Linked DNA regions of Caenorhabditis elegans. The protein of the gene in region 1 purifies or fractionates together with the protein of each later gene. This does not show direct contact. Each region holds a gene or a part of one and is shown in the gene's direction. Other genes may lie near its edges. The genes, in order: rpb-7 and pfk-1.1.

Region 1 (4,703 bases):
GATCAAACCGTGATGGGACAGCCTGGCACCACGTGAAAAATATAAGTTTTGCATGAGAATTCAAAGCAATTAGTTTTAAATCCAATATTTCCAGGTTGGTTCCTGAGACTTCTCTCAGTCCTCGCAATTCCTGTCTTCGCAATAATCTACCTGCTCAGCGGTACCGGCACACTTTACGAACGCTTCCGATGGGCAATAACTCCTCAACAACGCCGAAATTCGGCGACTTCTCTCGCCGCTGATCCCACACAAATTATCGATAGTTCTCTTTTAGATCCAATTCATACACTTACTCCAGTTTAGATAATTCTTGGTGTACTGTTGGAAGTCAACGATCGATAGCCGTGCACAGAAAAAAAGGCGGAGCGTAATTTCGCAACCTTGCGGCACGGTTTTTCCACCTATTTTGACGCCCGTTTTATTCTCTTTTTTTTTAAATAAAAACTAAATTGGATAGTCTTTTTATTAAAAAAAAAAGAGAATTCAAATCGAAATTTTATAGAAAAAATCAGCAAAACCGTGCCGCAGGATTGCAAAATTACGCTCTGCCTCTTTTCACGAATCGATCTTTTAATTTCAACAGTTATTATCGATTTATTGATTTTTCTTCCACTTTTTCAAATTTTTAAAATATTTTTCAATTCTCGAACTCGAATTATTTCTGGAGTAGCGTTTTATTTTTCCCGATCTCTTTAACCATCCACGCGGTGCCAATTCCTATTTAATCTCATAACTCACAAGCTTTCGTTTTCTGAAATTTTGTAAATAATCAATTAAAAAAAGAATTTTTATTGCACGATATAAACAAAAATATTTAATACTTAAATACTAATATCATTTTTTTGTGTAATAAGTCAGATCAGCCGAAACCGTATTAAAACATGGTAGAGGGGAAGGGGTTCACTGCAACTTTTCTTAAACGAGGGACGAGGAAATGCGGTTTCTAGGCCATGGCCGAGGATCCGACAAGATTTAGCGGCAATTTATCTTGCTTTGTTTTCCGCTTGTTTTTTTTTTTGTTTTTCACAGTTTTTTTTCCCGTTTTTCCTATTAAAACTGATGGATAAATATTTTTTCGCAGATGCTAGAACAATCGGCAAGAAGCGGTGAAAATGATCAATGTAATATGATGGATTACAGGCATACCAAACCTAAACTTTTTCCGAAACATGATATATATACTGCTTAGATGCTGAAACTACTTGATTTTCATAACGAGACCGCTGAAAAAAAGTTTTGAGATTTTTAAAATTCAACATTTTGTGCGAAAATATCGACTTTTTCACCAAAAAAGTTGAATTTTAAAAATCTCAAAACTTTTTCAGCGGTCTCGTTATGAAAATCAGGTAGTTTCAGCCTCTAAGCAGCATATATTTCATGATTCGGAAAAAGTTTAGGTTTAGTATTCCCGTAATCCATCGCTACACAATTTTTCAGTTGGAAATTGTTCTAGCATCTGCAAAAAATATTTATTCATCAGTGTTAATAAGAAAAAAACGGGAGAAAAATCGGTGAAAAACCAAAGAAAAAACGCGGAAAACAAAGCAAAATAAATTGCCGCTAAATCTTGTCGGATCCCCGGCCGTGGCCTAGAAACCGTATTTCCTCGTCCCTCATTCAAAAAAGTTGCAGTGAGGTTAGGAAATCATCACAGGATTCTTCTATTCATGTCAGTATGCAATAGATTATAATTATTATATACAGCTACCCGAGAGGTTAAAGGTATAATGGCTGGCTAGCCAACGATCGGACGATCCAGTGAACACATCTTTCGATATTTGTTCCTTCTAGCGCCGAAACCGGAAGAACTGCAAGGTCCGAGCGGTGATTGTCGTCTTCGAGCAGCATTCGGACCTGGAAAATATGATTTTAATGCAGGAATTTCGGTTTTTTTTTTCGATTTTTGAGAAAAATCTGACCTCAGCGGCAGCGGCGGCTCCTTCCATTTCACTTTTATTCACCGCTACTAAAACTGGAATATTTTGAACTATTTCGTTGGCCATTACTTCTTCTGAAATATTCGTATTATTATTATTATTTCTGGTATAAATTTGATTTATTTCAATTTCAAACTACTTACTAAACTGAGATGCTACTATTGGGAAGAGATCGCTCCTTGTTGCGTCCACAACAAAAATCATGGCATTTGCATCGTCGTAATATGTCGCCCAGAGTTCTCGTAAACTCTCCTGGCCTCCGAGATCCCAGAAATGAAGACATGTGTTGTTGAGCTCGACATTTCCAGCTGAAAATTGAAAAAAAAAATTTTTTGATTTTTAATTCATTTTAGAGGCTTACTATTCAAACCAACTGTCGCCGTGATTTTTGATGGATTCAGAACCCCGTAGTCCTTTACAAAGTGAGATTTTGTTTGCTCCAGAAACGTCTGAAATCGATAATTTCTGATATTAATCGGTGAGATCTCAAATTCAAGAGACTTACAGTTTTTCCAGCATTATCCAGACCGACTATCACCACATAATAGTCTTTTTTCTTGAAGAATTTCTCCCAGATACCCGCCGAAAGTGTGTACATATGTGAAATATTCGATTTTAAAGAGGAAAAACCGAGCGGAGTTGGCAAAATAAAAGAAAAACGAGATATGCGCCAAGGACGCCTGCTGGCGCATTCTTCGTCTCGTTGGCACGCAACTGGTGCGCTTACGCTTCGTGTACGAAATTTATTTATTTTTCGAATAGATTTTGGTGGATTTTTTCGTTTTTAATTGTTTTTTTTTGGTTTTAAAACTCAATTTTCTTGTTTTACGCAATAAATACTTGATCAGAAATCGATTTTTTGTGTGTAAAATCCAGAATTCGTGCATAAAATTTCTCTAAGGGGGTTTTTAACTTTTAGGAGTAAAGATTCTAGGTATTTTGAATGTATAAGACCGAAATATGCTCAAATAAGCGAATTTTGCAATAAAAATTCTTAAAGAGTGCTCGAACATTTTTTATGTCGGGTAAAATCTCCAATTCTGGCTACTTTCCATGTCGCAGCGATTGGAAGTGGACTTTTTTGGAATTTTCATCTCTTTTTGCATAATTTGATCGATTATCTCACGTTTTTAAGCAATAAAGGATGATAATTTAAAAAAAAGTGAACTTTCCATCGCCGCGACGCGGAAAAGTGGCCAAATTTCGCTATTCCACTCAGTAAACCCGTTCAGAATATACCCAGATTTAAACCGTACAAGCCTATATTATGAAAAATTCTAATTTTGGGCAGATGTAAACCAAGATTGTCTAGATTCAAACATAATTTGCATAGATTGCAAGTTTGAGTAGATGTAAACTGAATTTGTGTAGGTTTGTGTAGATCCAAACCAAATTTGTGCAGATAAATTCACAATATAGGCTTGTACGGTTTTAATTTGGTTTAAATCTGGGTATATTCTGAACGGGCTTACTGAACAAGTGAACTTAGCCGGGTTTTTCGGAATTTTGAGAAATTTCATTACGAAATTCGTCCATTTGAGCACATTTTGGATCTTCAACGTTAAAAATTACTCCTGTTTTAATAGTAAAAATTAAATTTTAAAAAACGATTTTTATGCTTGAAACACAGAGTTTACATGCAAAAATCGATAGAAATTTGAGTTTTAAACCAAAAAAAATCACTAAAAAACCCAGAACCGTTACGATTTCCTCTTTTAAATACAAATTTAAGAACTTTCAGATGTTCTTCCACTTGTCACTCGACCATGAAGTCTGCCTCCATCCGAAATATTTCGGTCCAAACCTGAACGAAACCATCAAAATGAAGCTGTTCAACGAAGTCGAGGGAACGTGCACAGGAAAGTACGGATTCGTCATCGCAGTCACCACAATCGACACGATCGGCCACGGCCTGATCCAGCCTGGCCGTGGATTCGTCATCTACCCGGTCCGTTACAAGGCCATCGTGTTCCGCCCGTTCAAAGGACAAGTCGTCGATGGAGTCGTCACACAGGTCAATAAAGTCGGCATTTTCTGTGATATCGGACCACTTTCATGCTTCATCAGTCGTCATTGTATTCCACCAGACATGGAATTCGATCCGAACAGTGAGAAACCGTGCTACAAGACCAATGATGAGGCGAATGTGATTCGGAATGATGATGAGATCCGTGTGAAGCTCATCGGAACACGTGTCGATGCTAACGACATTTTTGCCATCGGAACCTTGATGGACGATTTTCTCGGACTGTGCCAAGCGGAATGATCTGGTTTTCAACGATTCGCTGTATCATAATTTATCTATCACCACGTTATTTCACAATATTTTAATTTTTACTTTTTTTAAAATCCATCTGTTACGTTTAAACCTTAAAGGATCTCATTTTATTGGTTTTACTTGCTTTTTGGAACTTAAAACTTGGTTTTTTACCATTTTTAATATCTTTTTTTTTATATTCTCCTCATTTATATTCTTTAATTGGACTTAAAACTCGCATAATCCCATTTCAGATGAAGTTCCTTCCCGATGTTGCGATGTTCAGCGAGATCCGCCAGATGAATATTCGTCAGGTACTGAATTTTGCAAAAAAATTATTTTCGAGCGAAAAAAAGGGATTTTCAGTGGAAAAAGGGTGTATTTTTATAGGAAATCATCGAAAAATCCAGAGAAAATTTAGTTTTTAAGACAAATTTAATATTTTTCATGGAAAATATGTTTTTCTTTTCAGGACCGCGCAGGAGTTTTTAATTCGTAAAAATTTTTTT
Region 2 (7,678 bases), on another chromosome or scaffold:
ACTTACTGTTTACTCGCATTAACAATCAACATTGTATTAGTTCCCTGCGTAGTCTCTTTTTTCAAATTTTAAGGAGTAGAGTCAGTGAGGAAATTTCTTTAACACACGCTACAGTGACCAAATGTTATGGTAATTTTTTAAAGTTTCAATTGATTTTTTGATTTTTTGAAAATTGGAAAAAAAATTAGAAAATTTTTTTGAAACTTTCTTTTATGATATTTGTCCATTGTGGTACCGTAGGCGTGTTTTTTTTTTAAATTTTTCCACTAGCTCTATTCATGTTTTAAATTGATTTATTTTTGATAACTAGACACAAATGACATGACGGATAAGAAATCAAATCTTTGTGCTCTCTCCCCGGCCCTTACGTTTTCTTCCTTCTCAATCCAAAATGCGTTTTGGCACGTCGAAAACATTGAGCAGTTGGAGAAACGAGGGGCAAGGCAGAAGGGCCGCGCTTTCGTTTTTTTTGCGTTGTCTTCTCTCGATCTCTTTCTCCGTGTTACGCATATTCTCTCGCACTTTGCTTCTGGCTGCTTAGTTTTTTTCCCTTGCTGAAGGCTGAAAAAGTGAAGAAGAAGAAAACACACCAATCATTCATTCAATCCAGTCGATTTGATAGGAAAATGTAATTCACAATTTTGGTTTTCATGTTTTGTTTCTGTTGTATAAATACATTCAGTTGTCTGGGTCCCCTGCGTCAAGATCAAAAGTGCATCCCCCCTCTAGGGGCTTCTTTCGTGTATTGCATCATGTGTACTTGCCATAGCATATTTCAAAGTCGAAACCTTTTATTTTTGGCTTTTTTCTACTTTTCTTTTTTCCCATGCGTTCGTCACACTCATTATTTACTCTGCATCTTTTCTCTCTCCATTTCAATCACTATCACTTCTCACTTGGCATCATTCATTGTTTTCTTATACCAAAGGAACTAAATAAAACGTTTGTTTGTTGAAGTTTCGGTATTATTTTGAACGTTTAAACTTAATATCTACTCAAATGGATTAAACTAATTCAATAAACTTTTATGGCGGTTCAAAATTTCGAAAAAACATGGCCTAATTTTAGTTAAAATCTTCAATTTTGGCAATACTTTTTTTTTGATTTTTCAATCCTCTGTTGCATATTTGGTCGTTCATCTCTTGTTTTTTTTTTGATTATAGTACAGTTAAAGCCGATAGGTGACCTATTTTTTTTTATTTTAGGTTACCTATCAGCTGTAAATTACGTATTTCCTCTAATAGTATATCATCCAATTACTTTACTCCAAAAGGATATATCTATGTTCGTTTAAAAAATATCAATAAACTGTCAACTGCAAATATATAGAAAAAAATAAAAATAAGTGTTTTTTCAGTTGATCAGTTTTCAATAAAACAAACGCCAACTGAGATTTAAGCTGTCAAAGTTGAGTAATGGAGTGCAATGTATACTACATTAGAAAAAATACGATGTATCCTAATTAACGAAATGAAGTCAAGCTATGCCATTAAATATAATAATTTGAAAAAAAGTTAATTTCTTCGGACCGATGCAACACGAAAAAATGGACAAAATTAGAGATTTTAGCTGAAATAGGTTTTTTTTTGAATTTTTAAATTTTTAAAATTTCAAACCGACATAAAAAATTTTGAAAAAAATTTGGAAGTTTCATTACAAAATTCATTGAATTTAAAATGTCCAGAACCACTCAATGCTCCTCCTATAAAAATAATAATTAAAAGTTGACCTTCCACAGGGTAATATGACCGCGCGCAGTTGTTTGTTTCTGTGTTTTCCTTGTTGTATCTGCGTCGCGCACTTTCTAACCACAATGGTCCCTGCCACACTGTATTACGCGCATTCATTGTCCGCATCGATTAATCAGTTTTTGCTTGTCAACATTTTTCTCTTGCAGTTCTCAGATTTATCCTTTTCTTCTCAAAATTTTTTCATTCTTCTCATCCCATTTTTCTCATCCTTCGTGTTAAATACTATTGTCATAAATTACAGAATTTTGCATAATTCGAAATGGACGCGGACGCATCAACAATCACGCCAGAAGAGCTCGACTTTATCCGTCAGCGAGCTTTGCGCCGCTTCGACTCAATCGTCCCAACTGCTGGAAGAGAAGGAACTGAGATTGCGTCGGATATTTTCAAGGGACGTACTCTCGCGATTTACACGTCCGGAGGAGACTCTCAAGGTACGAATGAATTAGGGCAAAATTTGAAATTTTGACCTGCCATGAAAATTTTGTGTGGAGTCTCCATATAAAATTCATTTCACTTTTAATAAAATTCAAACTTTTCCTTGTAAGAATACGTTTGAAACTTTATTTTCCAGGTATGAACAGCGCTGTTCGAAGTATCACAAGAATGGCTATATACTGTGGATGTAAAGTGTATTTGATCTACGAAGGATACGAAGGAATGATTGAAGGTGGAGATTTCATCAAGGAAGCCACGTGGAACACCGTTTCCGATATTATTCAGCAAGGAGGAACTATCATTGGTTCCGCAAGATCTTCCGAATTCAGAACTCGTGAAGGGCGTCTCAAGGTGAGAAAATAATTAGCCCAATAAAACAAATTTTTGAAAGTTTTGAAAGTTAAAATTAAATTTCCAGGCAGCCACCAACCTGATTAATCGTGGAATTGGTCGTCTTGTATGCATTGGTGGAGATGGATCTCTCACTGGAGCCAACACTTTCCGTTTGGAGTGGACCGATCTTGTGCAAGAACTTGTGAAAAATCAACGAGTCACTGCGGCGGCTGCGAAAAAGATTCCTTACATTCAAATTGTCGGACTTGTCGGATCCATCGACAACGATTTTTGTGGAACCGACATGACGATTGGAACCGACTCGGCACTTCAAAGAATTATCAGTTCTATTGATGCTGTAGTCGCAACTGCACAAAGTCATCAAAGGGCTTTTGTTATTGAGGTGATCTCAATTTATCAAGAAAATAATTCATATACTTATTTTACTCTAGGTCATGGGTCGCCATTGTGGATATCTGGCTCTAGTTGCTGCTCTAGCTTCCGAAGCCGACTTCTGCTTCATTCCTGAATGGCCGGCACCGGAAAATTGGCGTGACGTCTTGTGCGACAAACTTTCTCAAATGAGATCAGAGGGTCAACGTCTTAACATCATTATTGTCGCCGAGGGAGCTATTGATCGTGATGGAAAGGCTATCACCGCCGAGGATGTGAAGACTGCTGTCAAGGAGAAGCTGAAATACGATACACGCGTTACAATTCTTGGACATGTTCAACGCGGAGGTGCTCCATCTGCTTTTGATCGACTTCTTGGATGTAGAATGGGAGCAGAAGCAGTTTTTGCTCTCATGGAGATGACTGAGGTTTCTGGGATTTTCTGTGAATTTTTCATTAATGGTTTGAACGTATGAACCAATATGTTTTCAAATTAACAAAAATCTTAATTGTAGTTTTTTTCAGTGCCGCAGCGGCCCGAAGTTGGCTTTTTTGGATTATCGAACTTTGTCGTAAATTTTGTTCCTTCATCTCATATTATTTTGATAGTTAAGGTTAGGGCTTCCTTGTGAGAGAGGCGCGGCGTTGGCGCCTCCACGGGCCTCCCGCCGGACCTCCTTCACCGTCTGCCGCTGTTTCGCAGCTTGGCGTGAAAAGAGAAATTTGACGTGTGCGCAACGTAGTTCGCAAAGATGGCAGCGGTCGACACTTTGGGGGTTCCGCGCCGTACTATACCTGTGGCGCGATTTGCGGCGTGAAGCCGGCGCTGACGCCTTACCGGCGCCACATGGAAGCCCTAGTCAAGGTATATTTAAAACCGGTAGGTGACCAAAAAATGTCAAAAATTAGTAAATGCAATAAAAGATAATAATGCGCTCAAAAAATCAATTTCAGGCAGCTTCGACACCGAAAAAAGCTCAGAATTAGAGATTTTAGACTATTTTTTCTAACATTTTGTACAGTCAAAGAAAAAAGTTTGAACATTTTTTGCAAAGCTTCATAACGAAATTTACAAATTTTTTCGTTTATTTGAGCACATTTTGGGTCTACACTTTCACCGTTCAAACCGTTATTCCTGCTTGAAAGAAAAGAAGTATAATTTTTTTTTATTTCAGGAATCAGAACCTTGTGTTATCTCAATTGACGGAAATGTTATGGTCCGTGTGCCACTTCTCAAGTGTGTCGAACGAACTCAAATGGTACAGAAGGCAATGGCGGATAAGGACTGGACCACGGCTGTGATGCTTCGTGGACGCAGTTTCCAGAGAAATCTTGAAACGTACAAGTTGCTGACTAAGATGAGAACCGTCGAAAAGGACAATCTTTCGGAAGGACACAAATTCAATGTTGCTGTAATCAACGTTGGCGCTCCAGCCGGTGGAATGAATGCAGCCGTCCGCTCTTATGTTCGAATGGCTCTCTACCATCAGTGTACCGTGTACGGTATTGAAGACAGTTTTGAGGGACTTGCCAATGGGTCATTCAAACAGTTCAAGTGGTCCGATGTTACTAACTGGGCAATGAACGGAGGATCGTTCCTTGGCACACAGAAAAGTCTTCCAACTGAGAAAACTATGCCTCAACTTGCTGCTCAACTGAAGAAGCACAATATTCAAGCGTTATTGCTTGTTGGAGGATTTGAAGCGTATCACAGCACAATAATTCTTGCTGAAAATCGCGAAAAGTATCCCGAGTTTTGCATTCCAATGTGTGTCATCCCATGCACCATCTCGAACAATGTTCCAGGTTTGTTTTTCATTATATAAGGTTTTTAAACAATACATTTCTAATTTTAGGAACTATGGTGTCTCTCGGATCCGATACCGCGATCAATGAGATTTGCCAGATGATCGACAAAATCAAGCAATCTGCCACTGGTACCAAGAGAAGAGTTTTCATTGTCGAAACAATGGGAGGATACTGTGGTTACCTTGCCACTCTTTCTGCGTTGAGCTCCGGTGCGGATAATGCGTACATTTTTGAAGAGCCATTCACCGTTCAAGACCTCTCCGATGATGTTGATGTGATTCTCTCAAAGATGGAAGTTGGAGCGAAACGCTACTTGGTTGTCAGAAATGAGTGGGCCGACAAGAACCTCACCACAGATTTTGTGCAGAATCTTTTTGATTCTGAAGGAAAGAAGAACTTCACCACAAGAGTCAATGTTCTCGGACATGTTCAACAGGGTGGATCTCCAACGCCGTTCGACAGAAATATGGGAACCAAGCTGGCCGCTCGTGCTTTGGAGTTTTTGCTCATTCAGCTCAAGGAAAATTTGACGGCCGATAACAAGGTGATCGCCAAGTCAGCCCATACTGCGACGCTTCTTGGACTCAAAGGACGAAAGGTGGTGTTCACGCCGGTGCAAGATCTCAAGAAGGAGACCGATTTTGAGCATCGTCTTCCATCAGAGCAATGGTTAGTGGACAAGTAGTTTGTAGAAAAAACTATTCAATCTCTAGACTAAAAATAACATAATGGAATACAGCATGTCTGTATTCTTGTTAAATATCTAAACCATAAGTTTAAGGGCTATATGCAATACTCGTGGAGCACGATTTCCTCTAGCGTTAGAGCGCACTTTCTGACATCTTACAAACTCGCGCGGTAATTTGTTTCTATCAAAAATCAGTTTCTTTGGCTAGTTTTTGGCTCCTTTAGAAGATTTTTTTTCCGATTTATATTATTGTTATGATTTGTTAAACATTTTCGATATACAAATCGAAAGTGTGTAAATTTAGGAAATTTTGGAAACTGTATCATAACAGTCAGTTTTTCGATTTTAGGCCGGTATTTGGTTGATCATTTTGTAGAGAAGATGCATATTCATGAAATCCCTTGATTACTTATTGATTTGATTAGTTCTCAACATTTAAAATTTGAAAAAATCACGTAGATCTTTATAACTGTGTAATTTCAAAAATCATGAAGTTAATCACCGCCGGATATGAATTGTTTATAATTTCTGTGATGACTGTTTAAAAAAAAAACTTTCGTTCTCGGCCGTAAGAGCCCAATTTTACATGTTTGCCATTCGCTTAATGTTCCTCATAGTCAGCAATAATGTAAATTAAAAATTTGACAATAATTTCCGTAGAACCCAAAAAATATGTTTTCAAAAACTGATTTCCTGTGGAAGCTGATTCCCGCGTATTCGAGAATTTGTTAGTTGTTAGTAAGCGCGCTCTAATGACAATGAACGCTCCTGGACACATTCTGCGATAAATTTCAATTTAAAAATTTCAGGTGGATGGCTCTGCGTCCACTTCTCCGTGTTCTCGCTCGTCATCGTTCGACCGTTGAAAGTTCTGCAATTTTGGAATCTGTTGAAGAAGAAAGCGCCGACTCACACATGTTCTGAAAAGTTTTGATGTCTCCATAGCGACTACTTTTTTCTGTCTGTCATAATACTTTTTTTTGTGTGTTACACTTACTCGGTATTGTAAATGTTCTCATGGTCTATATTAAATCTTTGCTCGTCTAAATTGTCTCTTTTTACTAAGCTTCCATAGGTTCTCACAATTTTTTTTCTCGCCATTCTTTGCACAAGTTGATTGAAGTCTTAGCCCCTATTTCTTAGTAGTTGAAAATATGCCATGATGCAAATAAATGAAGTGTTTTAAAATATGTAGTTATTTTAAAAATATGTTTATTCAAAGTATTTTATCATTAGAACTGTTCCTATGAAAAGTTTTTTTTGTTCCAAAGCTACAGAGGTTTAAAAAAAAATCATCTAAAAGTAGACCCGTGAGATGTCCACCGCTATATCTCCAGTCAAACTTCTGTTGAAAATTTTAGGGGATCTGAAAAAGAAATCAGCAATATTGTGAACAACATTTTGATTAATTTCACTATAATATTTGATCTTTTTGGCACTATAAGTATAGACTATTAATTAATCTAAATGATATTTGTATTTGTTACAAAATCAAGACAAGAATCTTTAATACACAGAAATATATTTTATTTCTAAAAAGTATGTACAAAGTCCATATATCACAGTGAGAAACACTTAAATCTTCATTTTCTTGATCCAGTAACCGACGTCTCTGTGATAGTATCGGTCGTTGATTTTTCAGGCTTAGCATCAGCTGCAAAAGCTGGATCATCGAAGCCAGTACTAGCTGATCCACCACCAAACAATCCACCGGCTCCTGGAGAAGCAACTGGCGCAGTTTGCCCTACAGGTGAGTAGTCTGGTCCGACATTTGAACTACCTGCTCCAGGTTGCGGCATAGCTGGAACTGGAGGTGATGCTTGGAACCCGGTCTGTGATCCTCCTTGTTGTCCGAACCCGGATTGGTCTCCCTGGAATTGACCTTGACCTTGGAATCCTCCATTTTGCCCTTGGAATCCGCCAGACTGGCCTTGAAATCCTCCCTGTTGGAACCCGCTGTTTGGATAGTTTCCTCCTTGCTGGTATCCACCTTGCCCATATTGTTGAGGTCTACCATACCCACCTCCAGGTTGTCCATAACCACTTGGCCTTCCGTAGCCACCACCTCCATTGTGCCCATATTGACTTTCTGGTGGGGAATAGTTGCTTGGAGCACCATATGATCCACGTTTCACCCTTAAGATGATAAAGTCTTTAATTGTGAAAAGTGGAAATATACCTGTTCAGAATTCCGGCATTGGCAAATGCGACGAGGGCAAGAATACTAAGAGATTTTAGGAGAGAAGTCATTTTTTTAGAAACAAAT

The links.
Region 2: the proteins of rpb-7 (region 1) and pfk-1.1 fractionate together in Caenorhabditis elegans (co-fractionation; one large-scale study listed by BioGRID). This does not show direct contact.

Annotation. Positions count from the first base shown.
Region 1 is NC_003279.8:3,030,838-3,035,540, reverse strand, and holds rpb-7 (DNA-directed RNA polymerase II subunit RPB7), read left to right. Parts: upstream 1-2,602; coding exon 2,603-2,671; intron 2,672-3,678; coding exon 3,679-4,203; downstream 4,204-4,703. Other genes in the region: mod-5 (Transporter), read left to right, coding at 95-303; Y54E10BR.2 (ADP-ribosylation factor-related protein 1), read right to left, coding at 1,717-1,854, 1,920-2,011, 2,081-2,245, 2,299-2,386, 2,443-2,535; sec-11 (Signal peptidase complex catalytic subunit SEC11), read left to right, coding at 4,449-4,508.
Region 2 is NC_003284.9:2,938,880-2,946,557, forward strand, and holds pfk-1.1 (ATP-dependent 6-phosphofructokinase 1), read left to right. Parts: upstream 1-1,992; 5' UTR 1,993-2,010; coding exon 2,011-2,185; intron 2,186-2,325; coding exon 2,326-2,540; intron 2,541-2,607; coding exon 2,608-2,925; intron 2,926-2,974; coding exon 2,975-3,343; intron 3,344-4,090; coding exon 4,091-4,721; intron 4,722-4,771; coding exon 4,772-5,393; exon of another isoform or gene 5,394-6,221; coding exon 6,222-6,336; 3' UTR 6,337-6,599; downstream 6,600-7,678. Other genes in the region: Y41G9A.10 (Prion-like-(Q/N-rich)-domain-bearing protein), read right to left, coding at 6,996-7,548, 7,592-7,662. UniProt on the Caenorhabditis elegans protein: Catalyzes the phosphorylation of D-fructose 6-phosphate to fructose 1,6-bisphosphate by ATP, the first committing step of glycolysis.